Linked DNA regions of Tribolium castaneum. The protein of the gene in region 1 purifies or fractionates together with the protein of each later gene. This does not show direct contact. Links are inferred from orthologs where the notes say so. Each region holds a gene or a part of one and is shown on either strand. Other genes may lie near its edges.

Region 1 (4,618 bases):
TAAATTACAAAAATAGTATAAAAAACTCGTTTTATAAGACCATGAAGCACTCATTCCTTCAAAAAACTCGTGGCTAACGCCAATTGTTTTTGAAACTGAATTTGTGCTTCAAGATTAGTCTTATGAAAATAAGAGATATGAGGTCGGTTAAATTAGGGCAAAGTTGTGCATTTTTATGCTGAACAACTATCCGAAAGAAAAATAGACGTTTATTTTTAGTTTTTGAATTATTGGAAAAAACGGAAATTTGTAATTTTTATTTTAATTTTTTCAAGCAAAAACCATACGAACTCGACGTTTTTAAGGACGTTATAGACACTTTTTTGACAAGGAATTTAAATCTGTCATAGTATTTTTCAAGGCGTTCCTGATGTCAGAATTACAACATTGAACTTTGATTTGTCTTAAGGAAGCCATATTCGTTTTTTATATTTTTGAAAAGTGTTTTTACAACGATGTATCACATGATAGGATCGAATCTTACATGCTTGCATGCAGATTTATGGTGATACATCGTTGTAATCAGGAACAAAAAGTCTTTTAAAAAATACAAGTATCAAATACAGCGTCCATAAAAAACAACAAAGTTGAGTGTAGTAACTCTGACATGAAGAACGCCTTGGAAAAAGCAAATGACATTCAGATTTCTTGTAAAAAAGTGTTATCCTACATAAAAACGTCTAGTTCTTTTAAGTTTCGCTTAAAAAGGTAAAACCCAAAATGACAAAGTTTTAATTTTTTTCAATATTTCAAAACCTAAAAATGAGGCATTAAATTTTCTTTCAGGTAATTGTTTAACATAATAATGCACATCTTTGCCCTAATTTAACTGACCTCGTATCTCGTATAATAACAACTGAAGCTCGAAAAACAGACACCCTGTTTACTATGTATCATGGTAATTCTCTTGGTTAATATTTTTCTAAACGTGTAAAAACACGTGTACTTGTAGGGCGTTGCCATGTTTTGTTTTGGATTTCAGTCTTGTGTTTTCAAAACGAAAAGTTTTGAGATTTTTTTCGAAAATAGTATTTTGTACAGCTCTATCTAGCTGATCTCAAGTGTCTGTCCACGACTTTTAAGACATAGCGATATAGCGTAAAAATAAATATTTATTATATTATTTTCAATTTTATTAGATTGCTGTAAACCGGCCGTTAGTAAAGTTTATCCCATTTCAGTTCATAGTAGAATTTTGCAACACCGCATTTGCATTTTTTGGAGTGAAATGGAGAAATTGAGAGTTTCTGGTGGGTATTCTTGGCTCAAAGAATTCTTTCCCTATACATAAACTCCTAATTTATTTTACTATAAAAAATTCAAATGCGCTCTTAAAATTCTAAAATAAATTCTACTGTGAACTGAAATGGGATATAAAAACGTTTTTAATTAAATAAATGTCAAAAAAAATACATAAGCAAGTATCAACCGTGACAATCTGAACATCAAGATCTAATAATAGTAATAATTCGAGCGTCTGCCACTTTCTGATATAAAAAAATCTAAACAATATCGTTATTTACCACCTTTACGCTTAACATTGTTTACAGCTCAAAGTTCAAAAGTTTATAGCAGTATAATTAAAATACTATAATAGTGTTTCTTGTATTTGCAAAATCAACCCTTTTGTAAATTACTTATGTCAAACGTTTTAAAAAGTCATCAAAAATCGGGAAAAAATACAAATTTCGTACACAAATGATACTGTCAATACAAAGTGCCACCAATTAGAAAATAATAAGCTAATTAATCAAAATAAAGAACACATTGCACCACATTGCAATAAATATTATACTATAACTTTAATAAATCAAACCCAAAAAACTCACAAGATACAAAATGATATTATCTTATCAAATCTAAGATCGGTCTATGATTTTACTCGATATTTTCTAAAACAAAAAATAAGAAAAATTTCTAAATAGACATATTGAGGTAAATAAAGTAAATAAACAAACTTCATTGCCTTTTATGGTACTAAAAGTAAAACATTAAACAGCCCCCTTTTGCCAATTATTCTTCAACAAACATATTTCCACTTTTTACACAAGATTCCGCATCATATGTTACGTAACAATTTGTGTAATGAAACTAAAATATTGCTAAACATAACTGTATAATATTTACCTGCTCCTGTGGAGTGATAGACCTCTGCTGCTTCTCAATGTGTTCAACCGTGTGAGCCGGGTTGGACATCAGCCTCTGTAACACGTTCTCTCCGTCGCCCCCCGTCACAATGGGCGTTTGATGTGTTGACTTGGTGCTGGCTTTAGCAAAAAAGTCCATAACACTTTTTGAAGTACAATCCCTAGGTGTAGAAAACGCCGGCGGAACCGATTCTTGCTTCGTCGGCGTTTTATTGAAGTCTTCCTGCGCCTTCGAGAGAAGACTGAAAATGTCAACGCCGTTCTCCTGCTTCTTCGACCTCTCGTTCGACTTGTCTTTGAGACTCTCCATCACTGTTTCAATTAAATAGGTAATGTGCACACACTCTTCACGGTTGAAGAACCAGATGCCAAATATTTTGCTTTTTGAATTCCTGTAGAGCAGAAACGGTATTTGCATCTGATAGTCAAAGTCTTTCACAATTGGTTCTATCACATTGTTTGTGTTGAGTCGGTTCATAACCATAATACTGTGAAACGGCTCTCCATTTCTGCTGTAGATAAACAAAGCGCCTTCAGTGTCGGTTTTCTCCCATTCGTTGGTCGAGGTGTTGAATTTGTATAAAGCAACGTGTGTAGCAGTCGCTAAAATATCTTTCACATATGGATCAACTCTTTTGATAGACGTAACACTCATACGCAATTCGATAGAATCGGCCATGATTTGAAACTGCAAAAATGCCGGTAATGCAGACCGCGGCCGGTAACCACAACATCTACTTTTCGCAAAATTTAACCGTCCCCAAATGAAGAACTACACAGTTTCCTCGAAACAAACTCAGTACCACAGTCCAATCAAATTAAAAACACAAAGTACGAAAAATCTTTTGAAAATTTCACATTCTAGTTCAACACCGCCTGCAAGAGGACGCGCCTGTCGAAGGACGTAACAAATTTGTTCGTTGACTACAAAACCACGGTGCACCAGGGCTCTGTCTTTAACGAAACTTTCGATCAAAAAATAAAACCACAAACCATGTGTTTTTACTTCGTACTGTTACAGCTCAGACTGTCATAAGATGCGTATTTTCTTGACTACGTTTCAGTAATTTTTGTGACTTGGAATGACGTTTTACACCACCGAACACACTTTTCCTGGTCCGTCTTTGTTCCACTTTGACACTCGCTTGTTTTTCGTATACTTTAGAAAAATGGCTTTGAATTTATAAACTTTAGATTTGTATTATTTTAATTATCGTGAAAAGACTTTTTGAATAAAAATGTCGCGCTCCATTCGTGCCGAAACTCGTAGTCGTGCCAAAGATGATGTTAAGAAGGTTATGAATGTTATAGATCGGGTTAGGCACTGGTAAGTTTAATACCCATTTTATTAGTTTATTTAATTAAATTCTCCTTAAAAGACCTCATATAATTGTATAAATGTGTAGGGATACTCATTTTTAAAAATGTACCTATATTATTTCATATCAAGATGGCAAGGAAAATTTTCATAGATAGGGCGATCGATTGTCAATGGAATTAATTAGCTCCTGATATTAAAAATTTATTAAATGAAATCAAACTCTCAATCGCTTATCTTATAGTTGTTATTAGTAGAGTATTAATTTACGAAAGATTTTCCAATTAGTTCAGTAAAATCTCCACGATTTCTTACGGATAATGGTAATGGAGTCCTACAGGATGACCCATTTAAAGCTTGAGTGGGAAACAACTAACTTAGAAATATAAATAAAAACAATACAATTACAGTATTTATTCCAGGACATATTAATATAATATTAAGACACTTCCATAGAAAAAGATGTGCAAAAGGAATCTTGAAATTCAAATTTGATAATCGCATTTTTAACATTTTTGGAGCTCGTGAAACAGCTGACTACTCGAGTAATAAATTGCTCAACTTAAAATTTATAAAAACACCCATTGGTTTACATAATTAAAGACTACAAGTTAAACCAGTTGATTCAGGTAAGAAGATAACGTGCCCCACATCCATAGAATGCAACCTAAAATTCATTGTACATATGATTTTAAACAAATTAAATGTAAATGTAGAAGATGTTCGACAAAGAACTTACGATTGTGAGTTGTATTTATTTTTCCAAAGCTCGTCATCTTACGTGAATTAACTGGTATATTTTGAAGGATATGAATTTTTACTTTCTTTTTTCACCAACTTTTCACTTTGCAAATTACACAATGAGGTTTTTATTTTGCTGAACAAAGGCGTTTCTTTGGAACTGTTTGCAATGGATTGATATGGACTTTTTAAAACTGAACAGAGGATAAGTTTAAACTGTTAAGTTTGTTATGTAATGTTCAGAGAAATAAATTCTTCACCATATAATACAAAAATCTAAGAATTATAATAATGCATTGATTAGAATTTTTAAAAATTTAACCTAGGATTAATAGTGTTATGTGTGTTCAGTAAAATAAAAACCGCAGTGTATAACATTTCATGAAATGTCTGAATTCGCTAAGTAGCTGCG
Region 2 (4,595 bases), on another chromosome or scaffold:
TGAATTTTTTGGATAATCACATTTTGGTCACTAATTGCGTTTTCGATGCTAGTCAGTCTAAAATTGATTGCTTGCCACTGGTTTTTGTCCCATTCTGTTTCGTTCAAATTTGTTATCTCGTCTCCGCCTCCCAGTCTTAGGTTATCTTCTTTATTTATCTCATTATCTTTCTTAACTAGAGGTAGTTTCAGCCAAACCATTTCAGGATTGGGGTTCTCTTGGTACATGAGATTTTCGTTATGTTTGTACTCCTTCTGGGGTATTTCTTGTTCTTCTTGCATTTTCGTTAAATTATCGAAATAGTCCTGAGTGCTGTACGTTGAATTGTTAAGAGATAGAATTTCCTGAACTTCTCTACTAGGACTAGAACCTCCACTTGCAAAATTATCCTTTTCAGGTCTTTGAAAATCAATCAAATTCTCAACAGTATCGCCATTTGTGCCTTCGGTTGATTTATTAATATCACCATTGATGCTAGTTCTGACACTATTAGGACGAGAGTTTTGTTCAGCTGTTGTAAAAGCGTCAGGAGTCATCAAAGTTAATTGTTGCTGTTGCTGTTGTTTTATTAATAAAGTAACGGATGACTGAAGATCGTCCAATTTTGGCACTTTCTCCAATTCCTCTTTAATTTCATTAAATATAATCTCAGTATTACACAACATCGCATCTGGTTGAAATACAATATTACACTCTTGGAATTTTTTCTGCTGAATCACCAACATTTTGATAACAACAGCTGCAACAGTATCGTCTTCATCATCGTCATCTTGATCGGCATCTTGTGAAAACTCTTCACTCATATCGGACGAACGTAATTTGCGACAGTTGGCTTCGGTTATGTGGAAGCTCAAAAAGGCAGTTGGTAGTAAAAATTGCGATATCATTGTTACTGATATTTGTTGAGCTTCATCGCTTCGTTTTAATTGCAGGACGTATAAAACTTTATTGTTTAGATCGGACATTAATAAATACTGACCCGAGTAGTCTATACTCATTTTAAGATAAACACTTTGGATTAGATTCGATGGATCTGGTTTGAAATGGATTGTCTGGAGACAAGTCCACGTTTCACAAGACCACAACTTTAGCTCAGAGTTGTGATTCGCACCCGTTATTGTGAATTTCCAACACCTGAGAAATGGCAGCAACATTTTAGTCAGAGCCAATATTATTTTGTCTTTGAATAATATGTTGCTTCAGCAGCAGGACAAACAGGAAAAATATCATTGTAAGTTTTTAAATTTCTTATTCTGACATGCAATTTGCAATTGAGCCGTCTAAATGCAAAACTGACTCTTTGACAATGAGTTAATTTTGAGATATTTGCGAAAAACTATTTTTTAAAGTTAAAATAACTTTTAAAGAGCATTTTTCTTTATGTGGTTTCATTATAACTGTAAAAATTGAATGTCGTATGCTGTATAAATGATAGTTCAGGGATAAAATAGGAATTTAGATTTACAAAGAGCAAAGAGTGAGTTTTACATCTAATTTATGTAAATAATTGTAATAATTTAAATACCTACATAATTAAAGCAAACCGAAATTAATTAAAACAATTAAAAAAACGATTAGGCAGCAGATAGAAAATATTTTTCGAATTTTTGACAAAGAACGAGATTTGCATTTAGACGGCTCCAATTGTAAAATAAATATTTTTACCGACTTTAATTTAATCATTTTGTCATGTACTTACTGAGAACTGCACTCCAGCAAATTGTCGACAAATATGATAGAAGATAGTGGTTTACCATCATGTGGTCTCCACTCATGCAAGCACTTTTGCTTTTCATTGTCAACCATGTAAATCTAAAAACACCAAAAATGTGAACAATGACCTGTTTTGCGTTATTTTGTACTTGAAAAAATTTCACATAACCGTCTAAGCAAGCAATTGCAATAGCGGTCCCATCTGACGAAAATGAAGCATCTACCAATTCAGCAGTATGGCTAATTTCAACATAACCCTCATAGTTTTCATTTGGTTGTAAAGGACCTGGCCCATACTTTGCATTAATCATGCCAAAATTCCATATTTCGGCTTTGTCCCAATTTAATACCACAAACATTTTTTCAGGATCATCTGGTGTCTCCTCTTCCTCGTCAAAACAGGTCAAGTAGGGACACCAGATAATTCGAAAGTTGGGGCTTGAATGTGGGACCACATCACTGTGGAATATGTGGAGTAGTTGTTTGTATCTAATGGCTAGTTAAGGGCCTTTTTTATTTTTTTACGTTGCTTAATAAAAATTTTGAAGGATACTTTATTGCACTAGGTTCATCAATGATTTCATAAATGAAAACATTGCCTTCGTCGTCAATACATCCTAAAATAATCTGTTGGCGTGAAAAAGCAAAAGACAGGTCTTTGACATCATTTTTCAAGTTTTTGATTAGTGCTCTTTCGTTGGTCTCTTGGTTCGTAACTCGGATCATGCCCCCGTCTTTCCCCTTCATCCCATAAGCAATAATTTTTCCATTAATGTGAACAGCGACCAATTGTCCGCGATAATAGTGAAACTCCCAATTATAATCAATCCGATTGATAAGTTTCACTTTAGAACTTCCATGGTTATGCTGTCCCGAGTTACACTGAACTGTTACTTCATGACCCACAATTTTTGCAGAATATTCCGTATCAGAATCGGTGTAACTGCTGCAAAAACACCAATTCCCTCAAACATAACCTCAAATTTCTGCTCATACGTACATGTTTTGGATCACGTCGTCTTGAGGGGCGAGCGGTGGCGAATTCATTTTCTATAAACCAAGAGTGGTAAAAAACACAAAAACCAAACCGGACTCAATATAAAAAACACGAAAATCGCACATATTGCGTCTCAAAAATTAACAAATTTATTGAAAAATGTGGGCTTACGTGTGTCTTATCCCAACTTATTAAAAGTCACTCTAAAAAGAAAAGATAAATCGTCAAACGTCAAATAAAAAATTCGTTTTAGTGGATTTGGGTCGTGATATTGGCACCAAGCGAACTTTAAAAAAAGGCGCCAACCTAGTTTTCAGGTTTTATTAATTGTTGACTACAGTTTGGTGTTGACTTAATCAAGGTATGGTAAAATATAATTGTCGACGATTGAGGTATTGAGATGCCACATAAAATGGTTAACACCAGGGACAGTGATAATTTTTAATTTTCCAGCCTTATCCAAAGTCTTCAGTCCAATAAGATCATCCTTGTAAATATCACGATCGATTAAGTTGACCACTGTATCATTTTGGCCAAAATATCCAAACTGACTGAAAAATTTTTTACAAAATTATTAATTTTACAAAAATTGAAGTATACCTTGACTCCCAGGGGGTTATCACGTTGTCATCAGGGCCCCCAATCAGCACCATTGCGTTAAGTTTAGTTATTCCCTTCTTGAACTCCTCACTTCTGTTTGAAATAATTTCATTGTTCACGAATGGTAAATATTGGGAATATTCTTTGTATAAAGTTTGGTGGTAAGGGTCGTTCCAGTAATTACCGACTGAGGTGTGTTGGCCTACCCTCGAGTAAAATAATTCAAAAGCTGATTTGAGTGCCAAGTCTGGGAAAATCAAATGTAAAAAATTCGCTAAAATTATTTTTATTAACAATTATAAATGTTTCAATGTTGGTTACAATGGTCGTACTTCCATACTGACCGGCTTGGGGGCCACTGAGTGAGATAAAATTATGAACATTGTGATTGTTAAATGTTTGTAGAATTGTTCGTGAAAGGAGAGCCCCTTGTGAATAACCTACAATATATTTGACTCTTCAGTTTTTTTCCCACAAAATAAAACACACCTAATAAGTGTATCCCTTCAGGATGTTGACTTGAAACGTTTAGGAGATCTTGGCCAAGCTGCTGGACTTGATACCACATGTTTTCCAGACTTGACCAACCAGAAAATCGATTAGTGTTGTAAATTATTGTACCGGGGTGTTGCTGGTGTCATAATTATTTTTTTTTTTTCATTGTGCAAAAAAACAACTTACTTCCTCAATCCGACCTTTGATTATTTCCATACTAGCACTTCCTGTCATGATTCCATGAAGTAAAAAAACTGGCTTATAACTCAATATTGTTATAAATAAATCACAGATAATGCAAAGTAAAAACAGATACTTCATTTTCACAAAAATAAATAAAGTACAATAAATAATTTCCTGAGTATTGTAACAATCTCACTTGTAAACACCAAAGTTATCACTAGCAGATTTGCTTACTGCGTTTTAAATAATGATTGGTCAGTCATTGTTCTTTGTGTGTTTAATTCGGACATTGAATGATATATAAATATAAACAATGAGTTGAATTAATGAATTAATTAATAATAATGTTGTCACTATTCATTTATATTTGGTTAGAGAACTGTCAGTGTCATTTTTTATTACAGCAATCTATAAAGGTACACCTTGCAATTACTAGTTGGAAGAACTGCGTACAGGTGGCCGAAACTTCGTCGTTTCCTGGGTCAAATATAAATCTTCTTCAAATTATATGTTATTCTTTTCCGGAAGTAATGAAACAAAGTACTAAATATACTTTTAAATTCCATATTTAAATACCCATTTAATATTTGACACATTGTGCTTTGCT

The links.
Region 2: the proteins of DCP1 (region 1) and Ge-1 purify together in Drosophila melanogaster (affinity purification with western blotting; 4 studies listed by BioGRID). This does not show direct contact. The link is inferred for Tribolium castaneum from reciprocal best matches to the Drosophila melanogaster genes DCP1 and Ge-1.

What each region holds. Positions count from the first base shown.
Region 1 is NC_087395.1:13,737,726-13,742,343, forward strand, and holds the start of DCP1 (mRNA-decapping enzyme 1B), read right to left. Parts: upstream 3,021-4,618; 5' UTR 2,827-3,020; coding exon 2,128-2,826; intron 1-2,127. Other genes in the region: BCL7-like (B-cell CLL/lymphoma 7 protein family member A), read left to right, coding at 3,386-3,474.
Region 2 is NC_087398.1:143,665-148,259, forward strand, and holds the start of Ge-1 (enhancer of mRNA-decapping protein 4), read right to left. Parts: upstream 3,018-4,595; 5' UTR 2,882-3,017; intron 2,764-2,881; 5' UTR 2,761-2,763; coding exon 2,714-2,760; intron 2,660-2,713; coding exon 2,267-2,659; intron 2,203-2,266; coding exon 1,863-2,202; intron 1,813-1,862; coding exon 1,700-1,812; intron 1,135-1,699; coding exon 1-1,134. Other genes in the region: lysosomal thioesterase PPT2 homolog, read right to left, coding at 3,063-3,261, 3,311-3,584, 3,643-3,750, 3,800-3,941, 3,992-4,126. UniProt on the Drosophila melanogaster protein: In the process of mRNA degradation, seems to play a role in mRNA decapping. Required for silencing a subset of endogenous miRNA targets.